4 linked regions of the Pelodiscus sinensis genome follow. The protein of the gene in region 2 purifies or fractionates together with the protein of the main gene of each other region. This does not show direct contact. Links are inferred from orthologs where the notes say so. Each region holds a gene or a part of one and is shown on either strand. Other genes may lie near its edges. The genes, in order: NBAS, STX18, SEC22B and SCFD1.

Region 1 (7,138 bases), on a different chromosome or scaffold from region 2:
CAATTGTTTTTAATCCCTAAAAGTAAGTCATTTACTCTATTAGGAACATTAAAATGTATTCTCCTTTAATGTATCTCCACTGAGCCTTACATGCACCATGCAGTTACAGAGAAACCCTTCTTCCAATCCATTAAGAAACCTCCTTTTACGATACATTCATGTTTGACAGACAGCTTCAAATTTTACTGTTAGAACATTTCAGAAATAAAATCTATATAAGGCTCCTATCTACATTTGCAATGACAATGTGCCCATTTGAAATATCTATTAAGCATTGATGTTTTTAGCTGCCTACCACACACATTAAGGTTCCCCGGGCAATCTTAAAATTCAGTCTCCCTATGCATATGCATTATCATGCAGTCTTTAATTATGATTTTAAACATATTTTCCCAGAGGTGCTCCTAACTATGAAGTGGGGTCAGGGAATGTGTGTGGAGGAGCGTGGTTAGGGCAGGATGCTTGTCCCACTCTTCTCTGCAAGGCACTGCCAAGCACCCTGCCTCCACCACACTCCTCCGCAGATATTACCCCGATCCTTCTTCCCAGTAAGCACCAGGCAGGACAAAGCAGGACAAGTACCCATATAGAGTCCTTTTTCTGAACAGTTGCAAAAAAGCAAACATGCTTCTGGGATGCATTAATAGGAGTATTGTGAGCACGACACAAGAAGTCATTCTTCTGCTCTACTCTGCCCTGATTAGGCCTCAGTTGGAGTACTGTGTCCAGTTCTGGGCACCACATTTCAAGAAAGATGTGGAGAAACTGAAAAAGGTCCAGAGAAAGAGCAACGAGAATGATTAAAAGTCTAGAAAACATGAGCTATGAGGGAAGACTGAAAGAACTGGGCTTGTTTATTTTAGAAAAGAGAAGACTGAGAGGGGACATGGTAACAGTTTTCAAGTACAGGCAGTCCCCGGGTTACATGGATCCGACTTACATCAGATCCCTACTTACAAACGGGGTGAGGCAACCCCGCACTAGCTGTTCCCCCCAGCAGACCAGGGAGACGCAGAGCGGCTTTTCTCAGCAGACACCTCAGCTTGAGAATAAAGGACTGAGGGAAGTGAGGTGTGGGAGAATAAAACGGAGCTCTGGAGAAATGTTTGGCTAGAGTTTCCCCTACAATATGTACCAGTTCTGACTTACATACAAATTCAACTTAAGAACAAACCTACAGTCCCTATCTTGTACGTAACCCGGGGACTGCCTGTATCTAAAGCGATGTTACAAGGAGGGGGAGAAAAATTGTTCTCCTTGGCCTCTGATGACAGGATAAGAAACAATGGGCTGAAATTGCAGCAAGGGCGGTTTAGGTTGGACATTAGGAAAAACTTAACTGTCAGGGTGGTTAAACACTGGAATAAATTGCCTAGGGAGGTTGTGGAATCTCCATCACCAGAGATATTTAAGAGCAGGTTGGACAGACGTCTATCAGGGATAATCTAGACAGTGTTTGGTCCTCCCGTGAGGACAGGCAACTGGATTTGATGACCTCTCAAAGTCCCTTCCAGTTCTAGTATTCTATGATTTACACATCTGCTCCAATAGCCACAAAAATTAATTGGAAGCAAATACCTATGGATTTCTGCAGAAATTGCAGTACTCTATTCTTGAAAAGTGTTCTTAGTATCCATTAACTAGAAAGTGGAAATTAAAACACTGTTTGCTCAGTTATTTCCCTAATTAAATTTTTCATGAAGTATCTGTGTTTTAACTAGAAATGTGTGTAATTGACAAGTCTAACTGATAAGACTAAGCTTATCGGTTAATCTTATAGTCAACTACACTTTGACATGCCTAGTATTGGGGGAAAGGGAGGGGTGCGTATTTTACACACACAAACAATTTGAAATCAAAACATAAATACAAGGAACAACTTTACAGCAGAAATGTAACCTCTAAAATGTAAGACAGACAGCTGATTTAGCACAAAGTGGAAAAGAATAGAGAAATAAATGGAAGATGAAAAATTTGTCCCTGAGGATACACGGCCAAGCCACTACTCACCAGCCACTGAAAACAAGGTTTCTCAGTGGCTCACACAGAACAAACAGAACCTCAACAAATTACCATCTTCCAATTAGTAAAGTTTAAATAATATCCAACTTTTGTGCTTTGATGTCTACTTATGCCATCCTCTGTAAAACACACGAAGTATGTTATGTTCTCCCCATTCAGTATACGGGGCAGATCTGCCAACCAAGACCTGCCATAGCTTTAATAGGAAATAACTTCATTTTGCATCATACACTGTTTACTTGATAGAGGGCCTGGTTTCCCTAAGTGCAACCCGTACTGACTCTTTTGGCGCTGTTAGCTAACCTCTTCTGAAGAGCAGGCTCAAAGTAAATTGCACAACGAATACTTCTACCCGACAGCCTTCTGTACTTTTGCTAAAAAGCAAAAACCTCACCAATATTGGTTAACGGTATAAAAAGCAAAGGGGCAGCGGCAACGCCGGCTTGAAGCGCTTTCCATCATACAGCGCACACAGCGGTGTTCAAGGGCTCCCCGCACCCCGGGACTGCAGCAGCCCGCGTGCAGGAGCGAGGTGCCAAACGGGAGCGGGCCGCCTCCCCCCTGGCTGAGCGACACACGCCAGGTGTTTGGTACGTGCCCGGGATGCTCCTTAAGGTGTCAGGAGCCGCTGCCTGCCAGGGTGGCCCCAGCAGCCTTAGTAGCCGGGAGAGAAGAAGGCCCCTCGCTCGCTCGGGATGACGGGGGGTCTCGCGCGTGGAAGGTGCCCCCAACGGTAGCCCGACCCCTCGTCGCTGGGGGACAAGGAGACCGCGCCGTGCGCCCGCCCTCCCGCGCCTTGCAGGGCTCAACGTGGCCACCCCGCCCCCACCTGGGTCACTCCCACCCAGCTGAGCGGCGGGGGGGCGGGGGGGGCAGACTGACCTGCACCTCGGTCTCCGGCGGCCACTCGGTGTTGATGAGCAGGTCGTAGAGGATGTTTTCCTCCTCGTCCCCGCTAGCGACCCCCGCCGCCGCCTCCCAGCTCCCAGCGGCAGCAGCCATGAGACACCAGCTACGGCGCCCGGCTGCGGACAAACCTCTCACTCACTCCTCCTGGCGGGGAGGAGGGAAAGAGATGTTTAACCCTTTCCGCTCTGCTGCTGTCTGCATAGGGCAAGTGGAGGCCACGGCCACACCAAAAAAAACTGAAAAAAACAACGAGTGGTCCAGTAGCACCATATTTTTTGTTAGAAACGAATACAACTATATATAGTATCATGAGCTCATGATACTATAATATATCAGGGGTCTGCAACCTATGGCTCTAGAACAAATTTGGAACCAAAGATGGCCCTTTTGTCAATCCCAAAATACACATTTTTTTAAGTTAAAATGAAACATTTAAAATTTTAAAAACGTGTAATTACTCATGTCAAGATGATTTGTTTTGTCTATTTCACCTTTAAGTGTTCACTTTAACCACACTCTGCACCCTCCCTTGCTCTTGCTTCCTTCCCCCCGGCCGGACACCCTACACCCAGCCTGCTTCTGCACACTACCTCCCACCCACACCTTGCACCCTCACCCCTTCCTGTTCCCCAGATCCTGCACCCCCATCCCTATCTCACTCACTAGCAGCCCATCCAGCACACTGAAACTCTCATTTTTCTCCCCACCCCCAGAGTCCTGAGGTGTCTCAGGTGGGAGCCACATCACTGACGGTTGGCGTAGTTCTTCTGTTTCTCACTTGTGTGTTCCCCAGCTGATTTTTCTATTGGTCAGTGGCCCCCCAACCCAAAAAAGGTTCCCTGCCCATTCCATTGTGGAAGAAAACATTGTCCTCGCTCTGAGTTTGTAAGCAACAAGTAGCCAGAGGCAGTTTTATTACAAGCTGCAGCAAGGGAAAAACTGGTTCGGACGGGGGGGGGGGAAGTCCCCCCAAGGCAGATCTTCAGATACAAGCAATTATGAAGAGTTTATATACTGTCCATTATATATAATAACAACAACAATTAGTCTCCTTCCCATTACAGACACCAATGGCTAACAGTTATTTAGTTCCACCCAGATGCTCCTTATCTCAAGGTCCCTGCTAGAGTCAGCATTCTATCCTTATCTCCGTATGGAGGCAAGAGGCAAAGGCAGTGTCTAAGTACAGATCTCGCGTTGTCAGGCCACAGACTTAGCCTGACTCTTGCTCTCTTGTTAACAAGACCAAGATGGCTGCACACAAATTCCCGTATTCCCTTTTCCTGCCTCCACACCATAAATAAAGAAAACATTGAAACCTTTTGTTTGCGACATAAATTAATACTTTATTTAAAATGAAGTTTGATAAACTAACAGGAGAAAGTTCAAACACTTAATTTGTTTAATAATTTAAATTAAACCATTCTCCTTAGCTGCAGGACTTGCAAAATGGCTCAGGCATAATTATGTCATTAACTCTGAATTTCCATTGCAGCTGGTGGTCTACAGAAAGGTCTTCATTGAGGCGGATGGTCCATAGACCAAAAAGTTTGAGAACCACTGTATTACAGGATCAGCACCCTAGAATGCACAATCATCGAGACAAATAGTGTTAATTTAGGAGAAACACAAAGAAAATAATAAACTACATAGTATTTTTTTTAAATGTGTGTATAGTATTTTTTGTAATGTAGACTTCTTACAACAAAAAGAAGATCACACTTTACTGCTAACCTTTTCTATTTTTAGTATTTTAATAATCTCTTTTTAAATTTGCAGTCAGCTATGTGGTCTAGTTTTAGATACTGACAAAAGTGTGGAATTACAAGGCCTAGCACTCTATGCCATAGACGGTTTAAATTAAACATTACAGAAATAGTGCCATTTGAGAAGAAATTTCTACTGAGTTCTGATTGTTTCTTTAGATTAATATTTTTAATTTATTTATGTTTTTCAAGGTAAAAGGGTGACAACAGCAGTGCATCTGTCCAATGTTCACAATTTATAAGAACAATATGAGGTTCACAGTACATTTTTCCTTTAGCGTTACAGATCTGGCAACAAGTGCTTCAACAGCTTCACATGGGCACCTCAACTTTTTTTAAAATAATTGCATTAGTATAATATTTTATGACTCCATTGAAATGTAAAACATGAAGATGATGGATTAGATAGAAATGAGTTAAGGACTGTAAAGTACAAAGAGGAGCCAGAAAATAAACATCATTTAAACAAACTATATTAAAATTGATCTCATCTGAATATAATGCAAAGGTGTATAGCAGAGATGAAACTGATACCCACTAAAATATGGCCTTTGGTCTTTGGTTACTAATGAAAGACAGCTAACAAAAACGATCCAAAACACCACTGGTGACAAACGAAATCTGGTATTAAAGTACTAGAATATTTATTGCAATATTCCTAATACTTACCTTCTCATATACACCAGAATAAGTCAGTAACAATGAATATGCTCTAAATGGTAACACACTTGGACAGAAGGTGCTGAACTCAATTCTCATGACAGGAATTAGTTTAGCCATTATTCATGCCACTGTGCAATAGTACATATTGCATTGTTATAGAAGCTGTCCTTTGGATGAAATCTACACCAAGGTGCTTTCTTCTTCTCTCTGGGGAAGTCTCAATGGAATTTTAAAAGTTCTGTGTATCATTTTGACAACAGGAAGGAATCACCATGATGCTCTACTCTCATGCTTTCTCTTTGATAAACTAGTTTATAATTGGCCAAATTCACAAATAATGTGAAATGGTGAAGTTACACTTGTTTAGTTCCCAGTTTGAGGTTAATCCTATATTTACAGTTCCAGATCCAGAGGTTTTCACTCAATAGAGGTTCTTGTCAATAGGAGTTTGTTTCAACAGAAACAGAGCAGAAACTGAGCAGTAAAAGTTGAGTAAGGACTTCAGGAATAGATTATTAAAAATAAGTTAGAACTGATTATTATTCCGTATGTGTAAGTAAAGATACTTTCAAACAAACATACTCTTCTAGAAGATTAAATAACTATGAAACCAGGCTATACCAATCTACTTGTTTAGAGGTGACAACAACTGTATAATTTAAAGATAAAATATTCAAAGTAAACAGATAGTTTGGGCTTAGGTTCAAGTCAAGAGTTCAGTTTCAGCTTTGGATTAAATGAGCAGTGTTACTAATTTTCTAAGGGTGTGTCTAGACAACAGCGCTATTTCAAGACATCCGTGTAAACATAATTCCACGACAATTTTGTAATAGCACTCTATTTCAAAATTAACTCAAAATAAGCTATGGAATTTACATAGCTCAAATTGAGTAGCTTATTTTGAGCTAAGGGTGCAGTATACATGCACCCTAAATTGTACTGTAATTCTCATTCTATTTGGTATTTGGTATTTTTGTTAAAGTTGCAGCAAGATCCTAGCTCTGTCCAAGAGAGTTGATGACTTGGAAGTCTAGAGTGAGTAGCCTTCTTGGAGCAGAGAGTGCAGTCCCTTGAACCTGTGACAAAAATAACCCAAAAGCAGCGAAAAGTCCTGTAGCACCTTATAGACTAATACAAATGTTGGAGCATAAGCTTTCGTGGGCGAAGACCCATTTTGTCAGATGCTTTAGCCCACGAAAGCTTATGCTCCAACACTTCTGTTAGTCTATAAGGTGCCACAGGACTCCTCACCACTTTTGCAGATTCAGACTAACGCGGCTACCCCTCTGATACAAAAAAACCCCAGATTTTCAAGTGAATATTTTCAGATTTGGAAGCCTGACTCTTCAGTCTTGAGAAAACAACAAATAGTCCTTGAACACTTGGTGCGGACAACACTGAGTCTGAATGAGGATTCAGAACTTGGGTTCAGTTTGGCTCATGGTCTCAGGTTTACTAGCTGGGTTACAATTCACAACATGATCTTGATCTGGTCAGTCTCTGTGTGGTTTCAAATTAGGTACACTGAATGGGTTAGGGATGTTAAGGACTAGCAAATGCGTATCGGATAGTCTCTCGACTAGTCAACTAGTCGATTCCCCACCACCACCACCACCTCCCTGCTACCTCTATGAGATAGAGGCAGAAAAGAGGGGGAGTACTTCAAAGCAGCAGTGCCACACAACTGAGCCGGGAATCAGCTATGCGGCACTGCCGCTTTGAAACCCCAATGCGGTGTTTCAAAGGGGAAGCCGCTGCACAGCTGATCTGCAGCTCAG
Region 2 (7,317 bases):
AAACTCCGTCACTGAGAGGCATCTCAGTATTGTTGTGCATGGTTTTAGGCATCCACTACCAGTCAACCCCATTGTACTTGTTTGGCAGACAGGATATCTGACACAAAATACAGGACTATGTAGCACTTTAAAGACTAACAAGATGGTTTATTAGATGATGAGCTTTTGTGGGACAGACCCACTTCCTCAGATCAAATAGTGGGTCTGGCCCACGAAAGCTCATCATCTAATAAACCATCTTGTTAGTCTTTAAAGTGCTACATAGACCTGTATTTTGTTTCAGCTACACCAGACTAACACGGCTACATTTCTATCAGGATATCTGACAGTTCCACTTGCCTAGAATGCACTCATGCTATTGCCCAGAAGCCTGGAATATGAAGTTTTCTTGTGCTTATGACTACAGGTTTAAGTGATTCAAGATGAGAGATTTCCTGAGACAAGCTTCCAGTTCTGATAAAGTCAAATTGCCACTGTAACTTTATTAATTATTTTAAATTAACATAATAGTCTTTAAATCAGATTTTAATTTAAATAATGTTACCACCTATGCTAGATTGCAAAGTCTCAGTGCATAAATAACTGAATAAAAAGGATCATTACTACTTCTAATTAGAATATTTATTTCAGAGGCTCTCTCATGTTAAATATTGGTTAACTGAATATAGGGCATCCGCACTGTACATCCAAGATACATTTAAAAAAAAGTAGACGTATAGCAAAGGGATGTAAAGCGAGGAATTTTCTTCCTGTGACTAACATCCGTTTCCGTCATTAAAAAAAAAGACCAATTAGTGCAGAACAGAGAATGGGAGGACTTAAAACGGAACAGTTCCCACAAGCATCAATGACGCCAGCTCAGAAGCAACATATACTGGGGCAACTTATAGCAAGGATGCCCTGTAGTCGAGTAACCTCATGAATTCTTATCAGTTAGTCAACTATTCTACAGTCCCTGGGGGCAGGCCTGGCAGCCACTGTATCAGAGGTAGCAGCAAAGGGTGCCAGGCAGACACTGGTCCGCAAGGGAAGTCAGTTTAAAAACAAGCTTCACTCGCAGACCAGCTGCCTGTTGCTCCGTGCTGCTGCCTCTGATAAAGAAGCAGCAGCGCAGGGTGGCAGCAGCCCCTGTCTAGTGGGGGTCTAAGCTCCCAAACCTGGCATGAGCCAGAACTGAACTGGGTTGCCTGCCTGGCTGGCTTCTAATACACATTAAATGCAGAGCCGCAGTAGGGGTATGTCCTGGACCCATCACAAGCCAGGACTCAGAAATTTACTGGCAGGAAGAGAGAAAGAGGGAAATGCATGTCTTCTATAGCATTAACCTATAACCTTTTGCTTATCAGTTAATTAATCAACTACACTATTACATCCCTAGCTCCCACCTCTAAATTCATTCTTCTGCAAATAACCAATATTGTCAAAAGTAAAATATCCCCATGACATTATGCCAAAAAGTGCAATTCTGCTGACACCCTCCAGAAAAAGTGTCAATATTTCTTAATATATTCTCTAATACACATATTTTTGTTTCCAATAGCTGCAGGCTATATATTTTTGTTTATATCTATCAGGTTACTTTAGCTCTAGTGTATAGAGGTACAACTCCACTGGCTTCATAATTTGAATCATGATTTAATTTAGCCTACTGTTTTAAAAACTGCAACTCCAGCAATAAAAATATCTCTGGTAGTTGATTTTAAAAAGTGGCAATTCATTAAAGCTGTTCAATGGGTTGGAATGATAGCCTAAAATCTGGAGAGAGATTAATGAACAGAAGACAGGTAAAGCTCTCAAGAGTTCATTGTAAATACAATTTATGACATGGTTAGGACACTGTATTAGTACAGCATGTAATATTTATCTGCACACAGAACATACACATACATCTTCAACAGTTATATGGCCCCAATTCTAAAAACCTAATTGTGCACATAGTATATTTAACTGTAGTCACAAGAATAGATCTAGTAACTACTATGTCACTATTCTTCTGAGTAAATTTACGTTCAAGCATAAATGTTTGCAGGAGCAGGGGCTACAAAAAAGGAGGAATTCTGGTACTCGCATGCAACAGAATTAACCCTAATAATGAATACAGCATAGAGGCTATATAATATCACCAGAGACTGCTACGTGTCATTATAAGCAATATACATGCCTTACCTCTGCCAAGTCACTTGGGGGAGGGCTTAGTTTTAAAGGGATATGTCAACCTGAAAGCTGATCAGTTTTTTTTTTAAGCGTCAGGACAAGAGTAGTTTTAGGTTCTCCTGCGTCCCCCACCAATTGCTGAGTTTGAAAACCATACTGCTGGCTATTATTTTGTTTTTGTGTTCTTTCTCTCCTGTTCCTGGGTAAAAGTCCCCCACGAACAACCGAGAGTAAACGAACGACTACCGGGCAGTTGTTTGTGGGAGGTTTTTTTTTTTTTGCCCAGCACGTTGGTTTTAATGGGAACTTTTAAAAGCCCCCCCCCCCCCCCCCCCGCAGCCCGACCAGCCACGCAGAGCCACCGCCTGGTCACTGCGGATGCACGGGGGCTGTAAAGGGGAAAGACCGACACGCAGGGGAGGGGGCTGCCAAGTGCACGAAGGAAAAGACTACGGGGCGGAGGGGGGGGGGGATAAGAGACTCTCCTCCCCCCTCCCCCCATCGCTTTGCATGGCACCGAGCTGCGGGGCACCTGTAGCTGAGATGGGGCTCGCTGTGCAGACGGGCAGTTGCTCTATTACCTCCACGCCACCCCCTCCCCCGCACTCACCACCTCGCGGGCCCGGCAGGAGAAGTCGCTCTTGGGCCGCTGGCTGCCCCGTTTGAGCAGCTCATCCCGGCCGCTCTCGCCGACCGGGACCCCCAGCGCCTTGTTCCGGGTCTTCACCGTCTTCACGCTGGCTTTGAACAGCAGCGTGATGTCCGCGGCCATAGCGACCCCGCTGCCGCCTCGCACGCCGGCCCCGCGTGGGTCACCCGCACAGTCCTCCCCGCACAACTCCGGCCGCCGTGCAGGGTTCCGCCGCCTTATCCGCCCCGGCGCCGCCCCGAGCCGCCAGGGAGCGCAGAGCCGCTGGGGTGGCACAAAGTGCAACTGGCACGTTCCCAGGCCCCCGCCCCGCGGAAACCCCGCTGCAGTGCCCCAGTGTGGGCGTGAGGGGAGCCCCCAGTGCCCAGTGTGGGTGTGGGGGGAACCCCCAGGGAGCGCCTGCAGTGCCCAGTGTGGGTGTGGGGGGAACCCCCAGGGAGCGCCTGCAGTGCCCAGTGTGGGTGTGGGGGGAACCCCCAGTGCCCAGTGTGGGTGTGGAGGGAACCCCCAGGGAGAGCCCCCAGTGCCCAGTGTGGGTGTGGGGGGAACCCCCAGGGAGAGCCCCAGTGCCCAGTGTGGGTGTGGAGGGAACCCCCAAGGAGAGCCCCCAGTGCCCAGTGTGGGTGTGGAGGGAACCCCCAGGGAGAGCCCCCAGTGCCCAGTGTGGGTGTGGGGGGAACCCCCAGGGAGAGCCCCAGTGCCCAGTGTGGGTGTGGAGGGAACCCCCAAGGAGAGCCCCCAGTGCCCAGTGTGGGTGTGGAGGGAACCCCCAAGGAGAGCCCCCAGTGCCCAGTGTGGGGAGAACCCCCAGGGAGAGCCCCAGTGCCCAGTGTGGGGGGAACCCCCAGGGAGAGCCCCCAGTGCCCAGTGTGGGTGTGGGGGGAACCCCCAGGGAGAGCCTGCAGTGCCCAGTGTGGGTGTGGGAGGAACCCCCAAGGAGAGCCCCCAGTGCCCAGTGTGGGTGTGGGAGGAACCCCCAAGGAGAGCCCGCAGTGCCCAGTGTGGGTGTGGGAGGAACCCCCAAGGAGAGCCCCCAGTGCCCAGTGTGGGTGTGGGGGGAACCCCCAAGGAGAGCCCCCAGTGCCCAGTGTGGGTGTGGGGGGAACCCCCAGGGAGAGCCCCAGTGCCCAGTGTGGGTGTGGAGGGAACCCCCAAGGAGAGCCCCCAGTGCCCAGTGTGGGGGGAACCCCCAGGGAGAGCCCCAGTGCCCAGTGTGGGGAGAACCCCCAGGGAGAGCCCCAGTGCCCAGTGTGGGGGGAACCCCCAGGGAGAGCCCCCAGTGCCCAGTGTGGGTGTGGAGGGAACCCCCAGGGAGAGCCTGCAGTGCCCAGTGTGGGTGTGGGAGGAACCCCCAAGGAGAGCCCCCAGTGCCCAGTGTGGGTGTGGAGGGAACCCCCAGGGAGAGCCCGCAGTGCCCAGTGTGGGTGTGGGAGGAACCCCCAAGGAGAGCCCCCAGTGCCCAGTGTGGGTGTGGGGGGAACCCCCAGGGAGAGCCCCCAGTGCCCAGTGTGGGTGTGGGGGGAACCCCCAGGGAGAGCCCCCAGTGCCCAGTGTGGGTGTGGGAGGAACCCCCAAGGAGAGCCCCCAGTGCCCAGTGTGGGTGTGGGGGGAACCCCCAAGGAGAGCCCCCAGTGCCCAGTGTGGGTGTGGGGGGAACCCCCAGGGAGAGCCTGCAGTGCCCCAGTGTGGGTGTGGGGGGAACCCCCAGGGAGAGGCCCCAGTGCCCAGTGTGGGTGTGAGAGGAATCCCCAAGGAGAGCCTGCAGTGCCCAGTGTCGGTGTGGGGGGAGCCCCCAGGGAGAGCCTGCAGTGCCCCAGTGTGGGTGTGGGGGGAACCCCCAAGGAGAGCCTGCAGTGCCCAGTGTGGGTGTGGGGGGAACCCCCAGGGAGAGGCCCCAGTGCCCAGTGTGGGTGTGAGAGGAATCCCCAAGCAGAGCCTGCAGTGCCCAGTGTCGGTGTGGGGGGACCCCCCAGGGAGAGCCTGCAGTGCCCAGTGTCGGTGTGGGGGGACCCCCCAGGGAGAGCCTGCAGTGCCCAGTGTGGGTGGGTGTGCGGGGGGGGGGGGCAGCGAGCCTGCAAGGTTACCTTACTGCACTGCCCTGGTGGTGGGGGGAGAGGGGAGCCCCTCTTTGCCTCAGTGTGCAGGGGGTGAGCCTCCAGGAAATCTTTCACTGCTGCAGGGGAAGGGGTATGAGTCTCCCCTCCAACCCCAGTGAGATCCTCTGTTCCAGTACCCGTGGGGTTATCACTCTCCATGCCACAGGCAGACTGTCTCACTGGGGGAAGAGAGTGACCTTTCATTCTACAATGAGGCCCCTATACAGTTGTGGTGGGGAGGAGTGAGCCCTACTGAAACTAAAATCAACAGGGCTCCCTGAAGGAGTTCTATCAAAACTGGGGTTTGAGGACTAATTTTTCTTCAGTTGAATCGTAAAATAAAAATTGGTAGGGTTCCTGCATTTACTAAAAGAGATCTTAATCTGTCTTTGAATCTTTGCACTCTAATTCCTTTTACTTCCATGAAAGATATATATTTCACCAAAAGCATAGTTTGGACTTATGCTTAGCATTCTGTTTTTGTTTCTTACAGTAAACGCTTAACCATTACAAGCCAAACTTAATAAAGCGTGGGTCACGCATATGAATTTTGCCAGTATTGTAATACTGGCCAATCCCTCCTAATGCAGATGCAGTTACATAGTCACAAAAATGTTTTGGCCAGGATCTCTTTTTTTCTGGTTCAATGACTGAAACAATCTATATTTGGCAAAAACAAAAGCTGGTATAACTGCATCTACACTAGGGCTTTTGCCAGGATAACAATGTTGTAAAAAAAAAAAATTAACGGTAAAACTTTTAACTGTAGACCTGGCCTTAGGTGGGTATTTTCATGCAGTGTGTTCTTATAAACAATATTATGGCAGGTGTCACCAGGTGGTGCTATTACAGTGTGTTATTGTTGTCCAAGTTCTTTTTCTTAGGCTATGTCTAATGCTACAGTGGACAGCTGCAGTGCACTACTATAGAAATTAACTGCAGTGCTTCTGTGTAGTCCAGAGTCACCAACAGCAGCATGGGGGGCTGTAGCCCACAATTAAAAGGGCCCACGGCTCTAGACTGCCACTGCCACTGACAATAGCATCTGGAGCCTATACAGCATGATCCAGGTGGTGCTGAGGGCTGGGTGGGGAAGGCTACTCCCCCCCGGAAAACTCTGCCAATTCTGTCCAAGGCCTCGCCCTTTACTAGGGGCCCAGAGTTGAGCTCCCCTCCCACTTTGCTGAGGTCCCAGTGAAGTCTGTCGCTTGCTCTGGTGTAGACACTATCTACACTGTCTGCAAGATAATCCACATTCCCAAGAGTTGGTAACTAGAGTGAACAGAAGAATTTCTTCATTAAACTAGCACTATCTACAGTGGGGGTTAGGTCACCAAAGCTACTTCTCTTCCATGTGTGAAAAATCCTGAGGCCTTGTCTACACCTACCAGCACCTTCAATCTACTTCAACTATGCAAATAGCATAGCTGAAGTTGACATTCTCCCTGTGGTGTCTTGCATTCAGTAAGGTTGGAGACTGCTCTCCCATCGATGCCAGCTACTCTTCTCGTCTTAGTAGACTACTAGCATCAAAGGGAGTGCACTCGGAGATCACTTAGTGTAGACAAGCCCTGAGAAAAGTAGCATATGCTGTATGCTGAAAAGTAGCTATTCCCAGTTTGGATTGGCCCCTGCATTTTTCAACCATGTGGAGACATGTTGATTAGTTGATTGAAGTAGGTTTTTCCTCTGGAACTGGGCACTGGTGTTAGGCTTACATTCCTGAAAGAAGAGTTGCATGCAATCTCTTGACCACCTCTGTTCCATGACTAATGTATAAGTGTAAATAAAACAAGTTACTATGTCAATGCTTTCTCTTCCACTGGGAAGCTGAGCTGTGAGGCCCTGGACAGCTGTTACCATTCAGCAGAGGGGCAATGGTAGTATTGGAACAGGACACTGGTGATGGAAGAGGGGGCAATAGTAAATTGCACTTTGAATTGTCTAGCAATGACACTAGCAACTCCATGGAAGGGCTGGAGACAATTTTAAGAAATAACATGTTGTTTTTAATATTATTGAGGAAAATTCATTCTCCCCAGATTGAGCACAAGCAGTTTGCCTTTGTGCAAGAGGATGTTGCAGGCATAGAGGGGAATGCAGTCTCACTCAGCAGACTATGATGGTGCTTTAGTCTCAGCCCACCACTAACTTCTGTAAGTTGCCTTCATGGGGAAGGGAAAAAACGTATGTGTAAATTGCTGGTGGATCTACATATATTGTAACTTACAACTCTTCTCCGACAGTTCCCCATCCTGCTTTTGGCCCATAAACTCCCATGGTAGTCCTCAGAGAGTAGAACCTCTGCAGAGGCCTCAAAATCCTGCCACTTGCCACAGAAGAACTGAAATTAATACAGGCTGAACCTCTCTAGTCTGGCACTCTCTGGTCTGGCAACATATGTGGTTTGGCATGATT
Region 3 (7,986 bases), on a different chromosome or scaffold from region 2:
AACGTAAGTTGGGATGCTGACACTTTCCACCTCTACAGCACTTTATACTTACTGGAAAGCCATTGATCCTGCTTCTAGGGTGCATCTGGTAGGTGACTGTTCATTCAATTTCCGGAAAAGCTGTTTAGCTTGGCTCTGGTACTGCTGCAGGTCCCGACCTGACTGAGAAGCAGAAAAAGTCTATTAGGCCAGGTTCTACCACATGGCACAGTGAACTGCAAACAATACAACAGTCTTTTAAGGCACAGGCAGGCCCTTTTCCCAGAAGGACACTAATACAATGTCCACAGCTAACTGCAAAGAGTTTTACCAGAACTGGATCTGAAGTTGATGGGCACAATCAAACTAAGTAGTACATGCTGGTAGATCTCAGGAATCTACCTCTGATGAATACATCAGTCCCCATTTTTGGAAGTCCCTATGAAGTTGTGGCTTTTGGGGTTTGGGGATTTTTTTAAGCATTTCTTGCAGAGGGTCTTGGCCCAGAGAACATGTGTCAGTAGAACTTGAGTTCTACTAACCCTGGGTTTACAATGCAGGAATGACAATCTCTCTCTGGCCAGGAGAATTAGCTTGCTTCCTCAAAAGCATGCATGTATGTATGCAAGGATGAGAATCTCAGTGGCACTGAGGGGTGAGTCTTGGCTTCTTATATAGTTCTGATCTACTTTGGGATCTCTGTGGAAAAAGAGTCTTTGGGAACTTCATTGTTACTAGGGGGGACACAATCTCTCTCTCTCTAAGTCCAAACACTGTGGGACAAGGGAATGCCTATATCTTGATGCCAAATCTAGTTTCCACCTCTCCCCAGGGTGCTTGGGATACACTTAAAGTTCAATCAAAATAGCTGCATCAGGCATGGAGTGAAAAAGCCACTCACCTCACTAACAGCCATGTTGTACTAAACTAACCCCCACTGCCGATGCAACTGCAGCCTCTGTCCCCCTGATCTCAGTCTGAGGGGGACTCTGGGCTAGGAAGGAGGGTCTGAAGAGGGGGCTTTCTGGGCTGGAAAATGGACAGTGAGTGTCAGCAGACCCTCCAGAAATTGGAGGGCATGATTCCGGGAAGGGGGGAAGGCTGTGAGCTGTTGATGGAAGAATAGCATAGTTTGGAGAGATGGCAGTTCTACACAACACAAAAGACCCTTTCAGCAATGGAGGGTGAGACCACTGCAGCCTATAAAATACGTTAAGCTAACTTTAACCAAAGCCTAATTTGTATTTAAGTGTGGAGAAATACAGAAAATTAAAGTTGTTAGTGTTAAAAAAAAGGCTAAAAAAAACCAACCCCCAGCCCCTTGACAGTACTAAAGACATGATCCAAAATTATATTGTGGCTCCATTTTGGTTATAACTAGTTTTAGCAGGGCTTTTAATAAGCATTTTTAAAATGTGTCATCAAAATGTTTATATTAATAGTCTGAAAAGAACATTGGTGCAAGTATTAATTTAAATAATATATAATGTAACTAGTCAAAAAAGTGGCAAAATTACAAATCTGGTTATGGGTGGGTAGATTTAATATTAATGAATATTATAGTGGCTCATAACACAAGTAGCCTTGCTGAACTGCAAAAAAGCTCCAACTACCATTAAAATGGTACCGTTAGATTCCAGAATGATAAGGCTGTACTTGACTCGGTGGTCAGTGCCCTAATCACCCCTTAACATGTTATTTTATGTCTCTTGAGTGCCAGGAGGTGGGTGAGTTTCATCTTCAAGGAGTCACAGGGTGAGAAGCACAGTGGCAGAGGTCATCAGCTGCCTAAAACTCACACCTGCCAGCAAACTCAAGCAGTACCTCAATCTTCTGAGAAGGCACAAACCCAAACCACCCTTTTACAGCCTCTGTTCCCCGAGGGATTGATTTCAATCTGAGGGGCGCTCTGGGCCAGAAAGGGAGGGTCTGGAGGGGGGCATTCTGGGCTGGAAAGCAGACAGTGAGCATCAGGAGACTTGAGCCTGGGATGGGGGACATGGGTCTGGGAAGGGAGAAGGCCCGTGGGACGGCAAAGAAGGCCCAGGAAGAGGGGAGCCCTGGGAAGGCAGGGTGGTGGCAGAGGGGGCCCAGGAAGGGGGTCCCTGGGCAGGCGGGGGGTGGCAGGGGGGCCCTGGGCGGGTGGGGGATGGCAGGGGGGGCCCTGGGCAGGCGGGGGGGGCACGGGAGGGGAGCCCTGGGCAGGCGGGGGGGCCCTGGGCAGGCGGGGGGGGGCCCTGGGCAGGCGGGGGGGGCCCTGGGCAGGCGGGGGGGGCCCTGGGCAGGCGGGGGGCACGGGAAGGGGGGCCCTGGGCAGGCGGGGGGGCACGGGAAGGGGGGCCCTGGGCAGGCGGGGGGGCGCCCGGGAAGGGGGGCGGCGGGGTGGTGCCCGGGAAGGGGGGCCCTGGGCAGGCGGGGGGGGGCACGGGAAGGGGGGCCCTGGGCAGGCGGGGGGGGGCCCTGGGCAGGCCCTGGACAGGCGGGGGGGCCGGGAAGGGGGGCCCTGGGCAGGCGGGGGGGGCCCTGGGCAGGCGGGGGGGCACGGGAAGGGGGGCCCTGGGCAGGCGGGGGGGGGCCCTGGGCAGGCGGGGGGGGCCCTGGGCAGGCGGGGGGGCACGGGAAGGGGGGCCCTGGGCAGGCGGGGGGGGCCGGGAAGGGGGGCCCTGGGCAGGCGGGGGGGGCCCTGGGCAGGCGGGGGGGCACGGGAAGGGGGGCCCTGGGCAGGCGGGGGGGGCCGGGAAGGGGGGCCCTAGGCAGGCGGGGGGGGCCCTGGGCAGGCGGGGGGGCACGGGAAGGGGGGCCCTGGGCAGGCGGGGGGCTCCGGGCCGCGCGGGAGGAGGGCCCCGCTCTCACCTGCTCATCCTCCTGCATGGAGGCGGCCAGAGGGAGCCCGTCCGCCACCCGCGCGATCATTGTCAGCAGCACCATGTCCGCGCCGCTCCGCCCCGGGCGCCGCCCGGCCCCGCCACCCTCAGCCTGGCCTCGACTACTGAGGTGGCCGGAAACAGCCAACTCAGCATCCGGGCGCCCTCGCCGGAAGTACCGGGCTACTTCCGGTCCCCCCCAAACGCAGCCCGGCCGGCGCCGCTCGCTTCCGGCCGGAGCGGCCCGGGGGGTAGGGCTGCCCAGGGGCGAAGGGGGCTCTGCAATCGGCCGGCAGCCGGGCCCTCGTGCCGAGCTGCCAGTGGCAGGATCGCAGCGTCCGCGAGCAGACCCCAGGGCGGCGCGCGAGGCTCAGAGGAGGGGCCCTGGAGTCCAGCCCGACCCGGGACCATTGCGCGGGGGCGGGGGCTCGGGGGCTAGCGCTGCGACGTGCGCCCCGGGACCATTGCGCGGGGGCGGGGGCTCGGGGGCTAGCGCTGCGACGCGCGCCCCGGGACCATTGCGCGGGGACGGGGGCTCGGGGGCTAGCGCTGCGACGCGCGCCCCGGGACCATTGCGCGGGGGCGGGGGCTCGGGGGCTAGCGCTGCGACGTGCGCCCCGGGACCATTGGCCGGGGACGGGGGCTCGGGGGCTAGCGCTGGGACGCGCGCCCCGGGACCATTGCGCGGGGGCGGGGGCTCGGGGGCTAGCGCTGCGACGCGCGCCCCGGGACCATTGCGCGGGGGCGGGGGCTCGGGGGCTAGCGCTGGGACGCGCGCCCCGGGACCATTGCGCGGGGACGGGGGCTCGGGGGCTAGCGCTGGGACGCGCGCCCCGGGACCATTGCGCGGGGGCGGGGGCTCGGGGGCTAGCGCTGGGACGCGCGCCCCGGGACCATTGCGCGGGGGCGGGGGCTCGGGGGCTAGCGCTGGGACGCGCGCCCCGGGACCATTGCGCGGGGACGGGGGCTCGGGGGCTAGCGCTGGGACGCGCGCCCCGGGACCATTGCGCGGGGGCGGGGGCTCGGGGGCTAGCGCTGGGACGCGCGCCCCGGGACCATTGCGCGGGGACGGGGGCTCGGGGGCTAGCGCTGGGACGCGCGCCCCGGGACCATTGCGCGGGGACGGGGGCTCGGGGGCTAGCGCTGGGACGCGCGCCCCGGGACCATTGCGCGGGGACGGGGGCTCGGGGGCTAGCGCTGGGACGCGCGCCCCGGGACCATTGCGCGGGGACGGGGGCTCGGGGGCTAGCGCTGGGACGCGCGCCCCGGGACCATTGCGCGGGGACGGGGGCTCGGGGGCTAGCGCTGGGACGCGCGCCCCGGGACCATTGCGCGGGGGCGGGGGCTCGGGGGCTAGCGCTGGGACGCGCGCCCCGGGACCATTGCGCGGGGGCGGGGGCTCGGGGGCTAGCGCTGGGACGCGCGCCCCGGGACCATTGCGCGGGGACGGGGGCTCGGGGGCTAGCGCTGCGACGCGCGCCCCGGGACCATTGCGCGGGGGCGGGGGCTCGGGGGCTAGCGCTGCGACGCGCGCCCCGGGACCATTGCGCGGGGGCGGGGGCTCGGGGGCTAGCGCTGGGACGCGCGCCCCGGGACCATTGCGCGGGGACGGGGGCTCGGGGGCTAGCGCTGGGACGCGCGCCCCGGGACCATTGCGCGGGGACGGGGGCTCGGGGGCTAGCGCTGGGACGCGCGCCCCGGGACCATTGCGCGGGGGCGGGGGCTCGGGGGCTAGCGCTGGGACGCGCGCCCCGGGACCATTGCGCGGGGGCGGGGGCTCGGGGGCTAGCGCTGGGACGCGCGCCCCGGGACCATTGCGCGGGGGCGGGGGCTCGGGGGCTAGCGCTGGGACGCGCGCCCCGGGACCATTGCGCGGGGGCGGGGGCTCGGGGGCTAGCGCTGGGACGCGCGCCCCGGGACCATTGCGCGGGGGCGGGGGCTCGGGGGCTAGCGCTGCGACGTGCGCCCCGGGACCATTGGCCGGGGACGGGGGCTCGGGGGCTAGCGCTGGGACGCGCGCCCCGGGACCATTGCGCGGGGACGGGGGCTCGGGGGCTAGCGCTGGGACGCGCGCCCCGGGACCATTGCGCGGGGACGGGGGCTCGGGGGCTAGCGCTGGGACGCGCGCCCCGGGACCATTGCGCGGGGGCGGGGGCTCGGGGGCTAGCGCTGGGACGCGCGCCCCGGGACCATTGCGCGGGGACGGGGGCTCGGGGGCTAGCGCTGCGACGCGCGCCCCGGGACCATTGCGCGGGGGCGGGGGCTCGGGGGCTAGCGCTGCGACGCGCGCCCCGGGACCATTGCGCGGGGGCGGGGGCTCGGGGGCTAGCGCTGGGACGCGCGCCCCGGGACCATTGCGCGGGGACGGGGGCTCGGGGGCTAGCGCTGGGACGCGCGCCCCGGGACCATTGCGCGGGGACGGGGGCTCGGGGGCTAGCGCTGGGACGCGCGCCCCGGGACCATTGCGCGGGGACGGGGGCTCGGGGGCTAGCGCTGGGACGCGCGCCCCGGGACCATTGCGCGGGGGCGGGGGCTCGGGGGCTAGCGCTGGGACGCGCGCCCCGGGACCATTGCGCGGGGGCGGGGGCTCGGGGGCTAGCGCTGGGACGCGCGCCCCGGGACCATTGCGCGGGGACGGGGGCTCGGGGGCTAGCGCTGCGACGCGCGCCCCGGGACCATTGCGCGGGGGCGGGGGCTCGGGGGCTAGCGCTGGGACGCGCGCCCCGGGACCATTGCGCGGGGGCGGGGGCTCGGGGGCTAGCGCTGGGACGCGCGCCCCGGGACCATTGCGCGGGGACGGGGGCTCGGGGGCTAGCGCTGGGACGCGCGCCCCGGGACCATTGCGCGGGGACGGGGGCTCGGGGGCTAGCGCTGGGACGCGCGCCCCGGGACCATTGCGCGGGGACGGGGGCTCGGGGGCTAGCGCTGGGACGCGCGCCCCGGGACCATTGCGCGGGGACGGGGGCTCGGGGGTTAGCGCTGCGACGCGCGCCCCGGGACCATTGCGCGGGGACGGGGGCTCGGGGGCTAGCGCTGGGACGCGCGCCCCGGGACCATTGCGCGGGGACGGGGGCTCGGGGGCTTGCGCTGGGACGCGCGCCCCGGGACCATTGCGCGGGGGCGGGGGCTCGGGGGCTAGCGCTGGGACGCGCGCCCCGGGACCATTGCGCGGGGGCGGGGGCTCGGGGGCTAGCGCTGCGACGCGCGCCCCGGGACCATTGCGCGGGGACGGGGGCTCGGGGGCTAGCGCTGCGACGCGCGCCCCGGGACCATTGCGCGGGGACGGGGGCTCGGGGGCTAGCGCTGGGACGCGCGCCCCGGGACCATTGCGCGGGGGCGGGGGCTCGGGGGCTAGCGCTGCGACGCGCGCCCCGGGACCATTGCGCGGGGGCGGGGGCTCGGGGGCTAGCGCTGGGACGCGCGCCCCGGGACCATTGCGCGGGACGGGGGCTCGGGGGCTAGCGCTGGGACGCGCGCCCCGGGACCATTGCGCGGGGGGCGGGGGGCTCGGGGGCTAGCGCTGCGACGCGCGCCCCGGGACCATTGCGCGGGGGGCGGGGGCTCGGGGGCTAGCGCTGGACGCGCGCCCCGGGACCATTGCGCGGGGACGGGGGCTCGGGGGCTAGCGCTGCGACGCGCGCCCCGGGACCATTGCGCGGGGACGGGGGGCTCGGGGGCTAGCGCTGCGACGCGCGCCCCGGGACCATTGCGCGGGGGCGGGGGCTCGGGGGCTAGCGCTGGGACGCGCGCCCCGGGACCATTGCGCGGGGGACGGGGGCTCGGGGGCTAGCGCTGGGACGCGCGCCCCGGGACCATTGCGCGGGGACGGGGGCTCGGGGGCTAGCGCTGCGACGCGCGCCCCGGGACCATTGCGCGGGGGCGGGGGCTCGGGGGCTAGCGCTGGGACGCGCGCCCCGGGACCATTGCGCGGGGACGGGGGCTCGGGGGCTAGCGCTGCGACGCGCGCCCCGGGACCATTGCGCGGGGGCGGGGGCTCGGGGGCTAGCGCTGGGACGCGCGCCCCGGGACCATTGCGCGGGGACGGGGGCTCGGGGGCTAGCGCTGGGACGCGCGCCCCGGGACCATTGCGCGGGGGACGGGGGCTCGGGGGCTAGCGCTGCGACGCGCGCCCCGGGACCATTGCGCGGGGGCGGGGGCTCGGGGGCTAGCGCTGGGACGCGCGCCCCGGGACCATTGCGCGGGGGCGGGGGCTCGGGGGCTAGCGCTGCGACGCGCGCCCCGGGACCATTGCGCGGGGGACGGGGGCTCGGGGGCTAGCGCTGGGACGCGCGCCCCGGGACCATTGCGCGGGGGCGGGGGCTCGGGGGCTAGCGCTGGGACGCGCGCCCCGGGACCATTGCGCGGGGGACGGGGGCTCGGGGGCTAGCGCTGGGACGCGCGCCCCGGGACCATTGCGCGGGGCGGGGGCTCGGGGGCTAGCGCTGGGACGCGCGCCCCGGGACCATTGCGCGGGGGCGGGGGCTCGGGGGCTAGCGCTGCGACGCGCGCCCCGGGACCATTGCGCGGGGGCGGGGGCTCGGGGGCTAGCGCTGCGACGCGCGCCCCGGGACCATTGCGCGGGGGCGGGGGCTCGGGGGCTAGCGCTGCGACGCGCGCCCCGGGACCATTGCGCGGGGACGGGGGCTCGGGGGCTAGCGCTGCGACGCGCGCCCCGGGACCATTGCGCGGGGGACGGGGGCTCGGGGGCTAGCGCTGGGACGCGCGCCCCGGGACCATTGCGCGGGGCGGGGGCTCGGGGGCTAGCGCTGGGACGCGCGCCCCGGGACCATTGCGCGGGGACGGGGGCTCGGGGGCTAGCGCTGGGACGCGCGCCCCGGGACCATTGCGCGGGGACGGGGGGCTCGGGGGGCTAGCGCTGCGACGCGCGCCCCGGGACCATTGCGCGGGGGCGGGGGCTCGGGGGCTAGCGCTGGGACGCGCGCCCCGGGACCATTGCGCGGGGACGGGGGCTCGGGGGCTAGCGCTGCGACGCGCGCCCCGGGACCATTGCGCGGGGACGGGGGCTCGGGGGCTAGCGCTGCGACGCGCGCCCCGGGACCATTGCGCGGGGGCGGGGGGCTCGGGGGCTAGCGCTGGGACGCGCGCCCCGGGACCATTGCGCGGGGGCGGGGGCTCGGGGGCT
Region 4 (8,072 bases), on a different chromosome or scaffold from region 2:
GTGTTCTCATTCTTGTACTATGACTTTGCAAAGTTGGTAAAAAAATAAAGCATTTCTTGTATTGCATATTTTGCTTTAATTAAGCATTGTAAACCCAAATTAATCCTTGCTTCAATTCTTGTTTCTTCCTAAGAACTTAACACTGAGATTAATTGGTCCTTTTTGTGCTTATTTTCCAGCATATATATATATATAAAAATTACATTATCACTTTCAACTTAATTTCTCATATTCCCAGAATAAATGGCTTTACTACATTTAAAAGTAAATTATCTTTGTGAAGTACAAAATTGTTTCATTCATTAGAAAGTTATGGTGTAGTGATATAAGTTTCTCACTATTTCTATGTCAATCAACTCCTAAAATTTAATTGATTGAACTTGGTCATTTAAATTGCATATGCTCAGTAATTTACCATTATACAAAAAAAATAAATATTACATGAAAGCAAAATTAGGAGTTAAGAATGCTGCTTATTTTAAACCTCCAGTATTAGCCAGTGCTATCTGTTAAACACACAATAGAAAAGCTAGTTAGTACACCATTTATATAATAAACATTCCTTGGATGAGATTAGTGATTCCGATCAGAAGAGGGACCATCGTGGTCATCTAGTCTCACCTTCATACACTAGGGATGTAAAATTCCATTTAATTAAAAAGTTAAATGTAGTATTGGCACTATGTTTACCTGATTTAAAGGGGTTTGGGCTAGAGCAGCCCCATTACAGGAAGAAGTTGCTTCTCATCTTCCCCGCCCCCCCCCCCCCCCCCGGGGGGGCTGTCACTGCTGCTGTAGCTTCCAGCAGCCCTGCACGGGGGCTGAAGCAGCCCTGTGCCCGCAGTTGGGTCGCTCCCAGGTACAGGCTAACTGTTACCTGGTAAGCATCATCTATTAAGAATGATTCTTCATCCGAATCCTACACAGATCATACCTCACCCATTAAATTCTGCATTAAGGCCATAACTTTTGTTTTAGATCTGTCATCTTTTATAAGCAACTTACTTGCTTTTCTTAGAAATTTTATTACAAATAATCTTAAATTTTATTACAAATAATCTTGGGGAGGAGGGACAGCTCAGTGGTTTGAGCATTGGCTTGCTAAACCCAGAGTTGTGAGTTCAATCCTTGCAGAGGCCATTTAGGGATTTGGAGGCCATTTGGTGCAAAACATTTGTTGGGGATGGTACTTGGTCCTGCTGTGAAGGCAGGGGACAGGACTCAATGACCCTTCCAGTTCTAGGAAATAGGCAATCTCCATTAATTAAAAAAAATTTTTTTTAATTTAATAGACGACAGATTTTTAAAACATTGTAGCTTTTTTAACTTTGGCTCTACATTTTAAAAACATAGGAATAATCAAGTCAAATAAGATAGCTTGGAACTTCCATCAGTCAGAATTAGCTGATAGAGGAAGTCTTGCCAAAAAAAAAAAACTTCCTATTTTTTTTTCTTTTTAAAGTGTTAGTTATACAGGCAGTCCCCGGGTTACGTACAAGGTAGGGACTGTAGGTTTGTTCTTAAGTTGAATCTGTATGTAAGTCGGAACTGGCGTCCAGATTCAGCCACTGCTGAAACTGATCAGTTTCAACAGCGGCTGAATCTGGACGCCAGTTCTGACTTACATACAGATTCAACTTAAGAACCCCAGGCGTCCCCAAGTCAGCTGCTGCTGAAACTGATCAGTGGCTGATTCTAGGAAGCCCGGGGCAGGGGCTTCCTGTAGTCAGCCACTGGTCAGTTTCAGCAGCGGCTGACTTGGGGACGTCTCGGGCAGAGCAGCTGGGGTGCTGCTGGGTTGGTCCAGTAGCGCCCCCACTGGACCAACCCAGCAGCACCCAAGCTGCTCTGCCCCAAGCGTCCTGATTCAGCCGCTGCTGAAACTGACCAGTAGTGGCTGAATCAGGAAGCCTGGGGCAGAGCAGCTGGGGTGCTGCCGGGCTGGTCCCGTAGCGCCCAGAGCGGCGCCACGGGACCAACCGGCAGCGCCCCAGCTGCTGTACCACAGGCGTCCGGAGCAAAGCCGCGGAGCACGGGGGCAGCAGGACAGCCCAGACGCGCCGTGGCTGTCCTGCTGCCCTCGGGCTCCGCGGCTTTGCTCTGCTTTGCTCCCCGTCCCCCTGGTCTGCAAACCAGGGGGACGGGGCTGCAAAGCGGCAGAACACGCGGGCAGCGGACAGCCCAGATGCGTCTGGGCTGCCCACGTGCTCCGCGGCTTTGCTCTGCTTTGCTCTGCAGACCAGGGGGACGGGGAGCAAAGCAGAGCAAAGCCGCGGAGCACGCGGGCAGCGGACAGCCCAGAAGCGTCTGGGCTGTCCGCTGCCCGCGTGTTCCGCCGCTTTGCTTCCTCTCCCTGGTCTGCTGGAGACCAGGGAGAGGGCCCCGTTCGTAACTGCGGATCCGACATAAGTCGGATCCGCGTAACTCGGGGACTGCCTGTAATTATATTCAGTGTGTGAAGTAACCAACCTTATATTTTACTTCCAGCACCACAGCATTACATGCAATGCAGATCTTTTCAACAAAGTAGATTTACAGTTCTTCCTTACAATAGGGAATATATACTACAGATATAAAAAGCTTTTAAAAAGTAACCATTAAAAATCTTAGCGGTTTCATGCGCTGTGGGAGCCTGCAGCGTAGCCAGTTCCCTAGAAGGCAGCTGATATGTGCCAGCCCCATACTGCAAAGCCCACAATATCAGAGCTTGCAGCTCAGCGCAGCAGCCGGCTTTCCAGGAACCAGCACACACTAGCAGAAGAGTTTAAGCGCAACTGAAACTGATAAGCTAATGCTTATTGTTTGTTAAACTCTTACATCCCTAATACAGGGTGGCTGTCTCTAGACTGGCCAGTTTTTCCAGAAAATCAGCCAGTTTTCCGGAAAAACTTGCCAGCTGTCTACACTGGCAGCTTGAATTTCTGCAAAAGCACTGACTTCCTACTGTAAGAAATCAGTGCTTCTTCCGGAAATGCTGTTCTGCTCTCGTTCGGGCAAAAGTCCCTTTTGCGCAAAGCTTTCGCGCAAAAGGGCCAGTGTAGACAGCTCAGATTTGTTTTCTGCAAAAAAGCCCCGATTGCGAAAATGGCAATCGGGGCTTTTTTGCGGAAAAGCACGTCTAGATTGGCACAGACGCTTTTCCGCAAATCTAGACGCTCTGTTCCAAAAAGCATTTCCGGAAAATCATGCCAATCTAGATGCAGCCACATAGTTCAATATTTGAAGAGAAGAAGTATTTAAATATGGACAGCATAAAATGCCCTGAGTAGGATCATTAATCTACCTCCAGTTCTATGATTTATACTTTTAAAGTGCCAATTGATATAAACTGGTATTTTTTTTCAACTAGAGAAGCAATAAATTGAATAGATGCATAAAGCTGCAAATAGGTTTATTTTTTTTTTAAAGGGTAGCTTTGTTTCCCTCTATTGGTATATAGTAAATCATTTAAAGTTGTGATACTGTTATTGGTTTAACAAAAGGAAGTTGTCAGTTGCATACAAGCAAAACGGGAATCAAAGACTAGTTTATGAATAGTAGCATGTATATATTTGTTTTTCCTAAAGACTATCTGAATTGTGGAAATTAATGTCTTCTGGTTAAACTAACATTTAGCATGTTATGTAACACAAAGTGAATGTTTGAAAAACATCCATGTTTATTAAAATACACATTACAGAACTTTGGAATTTTGTAACTAGTTTTAGCTTTGTTTTTTTGCCATAATTGTAGTATATAGTAGCTGAAATCTGTTGCAGCTTTCAAGTACCATACTTAGCATCTATGTCAATGTTACTCCATGAAATAAATACATTAATTGTGGGAGACAACTGTCATGTGTATAAAATCTTTTGAAGTGCAATAAAATAACTGATTCAGTTAGTAAGCAATTGTATTAAAAGTGTATTTTCTTCAAAAGCAGTTAAACTTCATTTAGAAAATGAAGTGATTGTGGCATCCAGGGTGTAGCACAGGGGCAGGCAAAATATGGTCAGTCAGAACAGCACATGGTCGCCAGAGGGGCAGCTCTGAGCCCTGTATGGAAGCATGGTAGGCAGGGAGCCTGCCTGAGGGAAGTGCTGGGCTGCTGCCCAAGAGCTGTTTAGGTAAGCACCTCTAGGCCAGAGCCTGCCTTTGGCACCTCAGCCCCTCTCTCCAACCTTCTGTTCTCTTGTAGGGTTGCCAGATAGTTTCACAAAAAATGCCAAACAGGGTGGGGGAAAAAAATTGGTATAGCAAAAAAAAAATAAAGATGGGGACCAAAGCTGTTGAGCACTCCCCCCCCCCCCCAAAAAAAAAACCCAGGGACCAAAATCGAGCAAAAAACCAACCACACAAAAACAGAATCATACTCCTCCTTGCCCCTACCAAAAGTGGCAGGGGAAGAATGTCCCAAGCACTTTTCTGTCCAAGAAAATCAGAAAATACATTTTACATGCCTGGTACTTTCTGGATTTTTTTACAGGACATAAGCTGCCACTATTGGACACCTGGCAACCCTATTCTCCTCTCTTCCCCCCCTCCCCACCCTATGTAACTCAACTGCTCTGCACCCCAATCTCCTATCCGAGGTCACAGCCCACCTGCACACCCTCCTGCTTGCCTGCCCTAGGGCTCAACCCCCTCTAACACCATACACTCCTTCCTGCACAAGTCAGAAGCCCCTCTTGCATTCATATCCCCTCCTGGATCCTCTACCTCCTCCTGCACCTTGGTGGTCTTCCAGCCCTCCGGCACTTCCTCCATTAATATAATTGAAGAGTGTGTCTCTTAACTTATTCAATTCTTGGCAGGCTCACCCCGATCAAAAATTATTGGCCACTCCTAGTGTAGCAGCTACCGTAGTAACAGGAGCACGGTGGCAGATCTGAAATGCCTACAGTGAAGGTGTTCAAAAGTATTTAACTACCTAACACCCGCTGCGCACAAGTCCTATTTATCGGTAGTGCTTACGTCACAATTTTTCACTATCCATCCAGTCGCAGAAGCTACCGCCGCCAAGCCCCGCCCCTTGGCTCTGCTTGCTGTTCAGGGGCAGGGCACGGCGCGTGACGCTGCGGCGCGCCAATTGTCCCCGCCCCCCGCTCTGCTTCGACTGAGGAGACGCGCCACGTCGCCGGCTGGTGCGTACGCGAAAGTGGGCGGGGCTGGCCGTGAAGATGGCGGCCGGGATCCGGGAGAAGCAGACAGGTGAGGCGCTCTCCTGTCTAGTCCTGCCGCGCAGCCGTGTCACGGGAGGCTCGCGCCGCAGCTGCCGCCCCAGCCCGGGGGCGTGAGCAGGAGACTCGGGGCCGCACCTGGCTGCGGCTACAGGAAGATGTGCAGCGGCTGGTAGCTGTGCTGCCCAGCGCTCCGGCCGCGGGAGCACGGGATTCACTCACCCTCCCGCGGGCAAAGGGTAGCAGCGCGGGGCCTGTAACAAGCGCCCCCTCCCCGTCCGGGCGTTCCTCTTGAGGGGGGGCCTGTCAACTCTTGCTCCACCCACCCCTCTGAAGCCCCGCCCGCGGGGGGGGGGGGGCTCTCGCACGACTTCGCCCAGAAGCCCCAGCCACTGGCCATCAGCTGACCCACCTCGTCAAGCCCCTAGCGCCCCACTGAGTTCCGCCTGCCCCTGATCCGCTCTCCTAGAAGAGGCCCCAACTCTGCTGCGAGTTGGCGCTCACCTGACTAGTCCTACTCGATCCGGGCGAGTAGAATGTCTGGAAATAGTTGAGAATGGGCTTTCTGGAACCATTACTGTGATAGAGGACTGCACTGCAGAGACTTCTGGAATGTAAAAAATCATAATTACATAGAGCCCAGGGCACCAAAATCCCCAGACTTTGGCTTTCCTGTTGCAAACTAAGTAGACAAGTGAATGGGTGAGATGGCACAAATTATGCAAAAGAAAGTGGTTAGTACATTTGTTGACTTCTGGAAACTGTTTCTCTTTGTTGTGACTCTGTGACAAGAGCAGGCTGAAAACAAGGTGTGAAGACAGAAATATGAGTCTTTGGTGCATGTATTTGCTATTAGCATTAAACAAAACACCTGGGAAGTATATGAGTCCTGGAGAGTCAAGGAGATAGGGAAAAAAATGAAGTTAAATAGGATGAACATTAGGGAGACTACTATTGATAATAGGGCTAATGCATCAACTTTTTTCTTAGGCTAAATCTGTACCACTTCAGTAAGTCTACCTAAGGTATGCAACTTCAGCTATGTGAATAATATGCCTGAGTACTGTGTATAGATATGGTCTCCTCACCTCAAAAAAGATATTTTGGTATTAGTTGCTCTTTTCTGAACCTTTTCTAAAATGATTAGGAGTTTGGAATGGGTCCCATATGAGGAGAGGCTAAAGAGACTGGGACTTTTCAGTTTAGAAAAGAAGAGACTGAGAGGGGATATGATAGAGGAATATAAAATCATGAGTGGTGTGGAGAGAGTGAATAAAGAAAAGTTATTTACTTGTTCTCATAATATAAGAACTAATGAAAATAATGGGTAGCAGGTTTAAAACTAATAAAAGAAAGTTCTTCTTCACACAGCGCATAGTCAACTTGTGGAACTCCTTGCCAGAGGAGGCTGTGAAGGCTAGGACTATAAGAGAGTTTAAAAAAGAGCTAGATAAATTCATGGAGGTTAGGTCAATAAAAGACTACAGGCAGTCCCCGGGTTACGTACAAGATAGGGACTGTAGGTTTGTTCTTAAGTTGAATCTGTATGTAAGTCGGAACTGGCATCCAGATTCAGACACTGCTGAAACTGACCGCCAGTTCTGACTTACATACAGAATCAACTTAAGAACCCCAGGCGTCCCCAAGTCAGCTGCTGCTGAAACTGATCAGCAGCTGATTCCAGGAAGCATGGGGCAGAGCAACTCTGCCTGGGGCTTCCTGTAGTCAGCGCTGGTCAGTTTCAGCAGAAGCTGACTTGGGGACGCCTGGGGCAGAGCAGCTGGGGTGCTACTGGACCAACCCAGCAGCACCCCATCTGCTCTGCCCCAGACGTCCTGATTCAGCCGCTGCTGAAACTGACCAGCAGCGGCTGAATCAGGACCTGGGGCAGAGCAGCTGGGGTGCTGCCGGGTTGGTCCAGTAGTGCCCACGGGCGCTGCAGGACCAATCGGCAGCGCCCCAGCTGCTCTGCCCCAGAGTCCAAAACAAAAGCCTGGTCTGCTGGGGGGGGGGGGGAGCACACTAGCTGCGCCCACCCCCAGCAGACCAGGGACACGGGGAGCAGAGCCGCAGCAGCAGCGGGGTGCCGCGCCTCTGAGGCTTTGCTCTGGCAAAGCCTCAGAGGCGCGGGACCCCCCCGCGGCTGCGGCTTCAGTCCGGGTGCCTGTGGTCTGCTGGGGGCCGTCCCCAGCAGACCACAGGCACCGGGTCTCAAGGGGCAGCAGCAGCGGTTCCCGCGCTTCTGAGGCTTTGCTCTGGCAAAGCCTCAGAAGCGCGGGAACCCGCCCGGTGCCCCTGGTCTGCTGGAGACGGTCTCCAGCAGACCAGGGGCACCGGAGCAGCTTATCAACGGGGCTTTCTCGCCCCGACTTCCGGGGCGAGAAAGCTCCGTTCGTAAGTGCGGATCCGACGTAAGTCGGATCCGCGTAAGTCGGGGACTGCCTGTATTAGCCAGGGGTAAGGAATGGTGCCCCTGGCCTCTGTTTGTCAAAGGCTGGAGAAGGATGGCAGGAGACAGTTTTCTTGATCATTGTCTTTGGTCCACCCCCTCTGGGGCACCTGGCACTGGCCACTATCAGCAGACAGGCTACTGGGCTAGATGGACCTTTGGTCTGACCCAGTATGGCCATTCTTATGTTCTTTAAAAGCGTACACATTCAGGTATGCTCCCACTTTTCAGTATGGCAGTGCCCACCATCTGTTTGTGAGTTAGTCTTCAGAAACGTTTCGGCCCTATGTTTTGTGTTCTTCCTGCTATAGGAAATGATAGAAAAATAATTTTCCTTCTGAAAAGATGCAAACTTGCTAAGAGCCTGGGAATCTAGAGGTCTAATGGACAGAATTGAGCTGAGGTATAGGAAACATTCTGGCAGATATTTTAATAAACTAAATTGTCACTACGTTACATTTTGT

What was found.
Region 1: the proteins of STX18 (region 2) and NBAS purify together in Homo sapiens (co-immunoprecipitation; 5 studies listed by BioGRID and IntAct, counting the BioPlex papers as one, with this or other methods). This does not show direct contact. The link is inferred for Pelodiscus sinensis from reciprocal best matches to the Homo sapiens genes STX18 and NBAS.
Region 3: the proteins of STX18 (region 2) and SEC22B purify together in Homo sapiens (affinity purification with mass spectrometry; 5 studies listed by BioGRID and IntAct, counting the BioPlex papers as one, with this or other methods). This does not show direct contact. The link is inferred for Pelodiscus sinensis from reciprocal best matches to the Homo sapiens genes STX18 and SEC22B.
Region 4: the proteins of STX18 (region 2) and SCFD1 purify together in Homo sapiens (affinity purification with mass spectrometry; 5 studies listed by BioGRID and IntAct, counting the BioPlex papers as one, with this or other methods). This does not show direct contact. The link is inferred for Pelodiscus sinensis from reciprocal best matches to the Homo sapiens genes STX18 and SCFD1.

What each region holds. Positions count from the first base shown.
Region 1 is NC_134713.1:22,930,353-22,937,490, reverse strand, and holds the start of NBAS (NBAS subunit of NRZ tethering complex), read right to left. Parts: upstream 3,066-7,138; 5' UTR 3,025-3,065; coding exon 2,905-3,024; intron 1-2,904. UniProt on the Homo sapiens protein: Involved in Golgi-to-endoplasmic reticulum (ER) retrograde transport; the function is proposed to depend on its association in the NRZ complex which is believed to play a role in SNARE assembly at the ER. Required for normal embryonic development.
Region 2 is NC_134715.1:110,695,862-110,703,178, forward strand, and holds the start of STX18 (syntaxin-18), read right to left. Parts: upstream 3,054-7,317; 5' UTR 2,927-3,053; coding exon 2,765-2,926; intron 1-2,764. UniProt on the Homo sapiens protein: Syntaxin that may be involved in targeting and fusion of Golgi-derived retrograde transport vesicles with the ER.
Region 3 is NW_027465903.1:289,722-297,707, forward strand, and holds the start of SEC22B (vesicle-trafficking protein SEC22b), read right to left. Parts: upstream 3,005-7,986; 5' UTR 2,908-3,004; coding exon 2,833-2,907; intron 163-2,832; coding exon 53-162; intron 1-52. UniProt on the Homo sapiens protein: SNARE involved in targeting and fusion of ER-derived transport vesicles with the Golgi complex as well as Golgi-derived retrograde transport vesicles with the ER.
Region 4 is NC_134714.1:51,540,991-51,549,062, reverse strand, and holds the start of SCFD1 (sec1 family domain-containing protein 1), read left to right. Parts: upstream 1-5,051; 5' UTR 5,052-5,159; coding exon 5,160-5,190; intron 5,191-8,072. UniProt on the Homo sapiens protein: Plays a role in SNARE-pin assembly and Golgi-to-ER retrograde transport via its interaction with COG4. Involved in vesicular transport between the endoplasmic reticulum and the Golgi.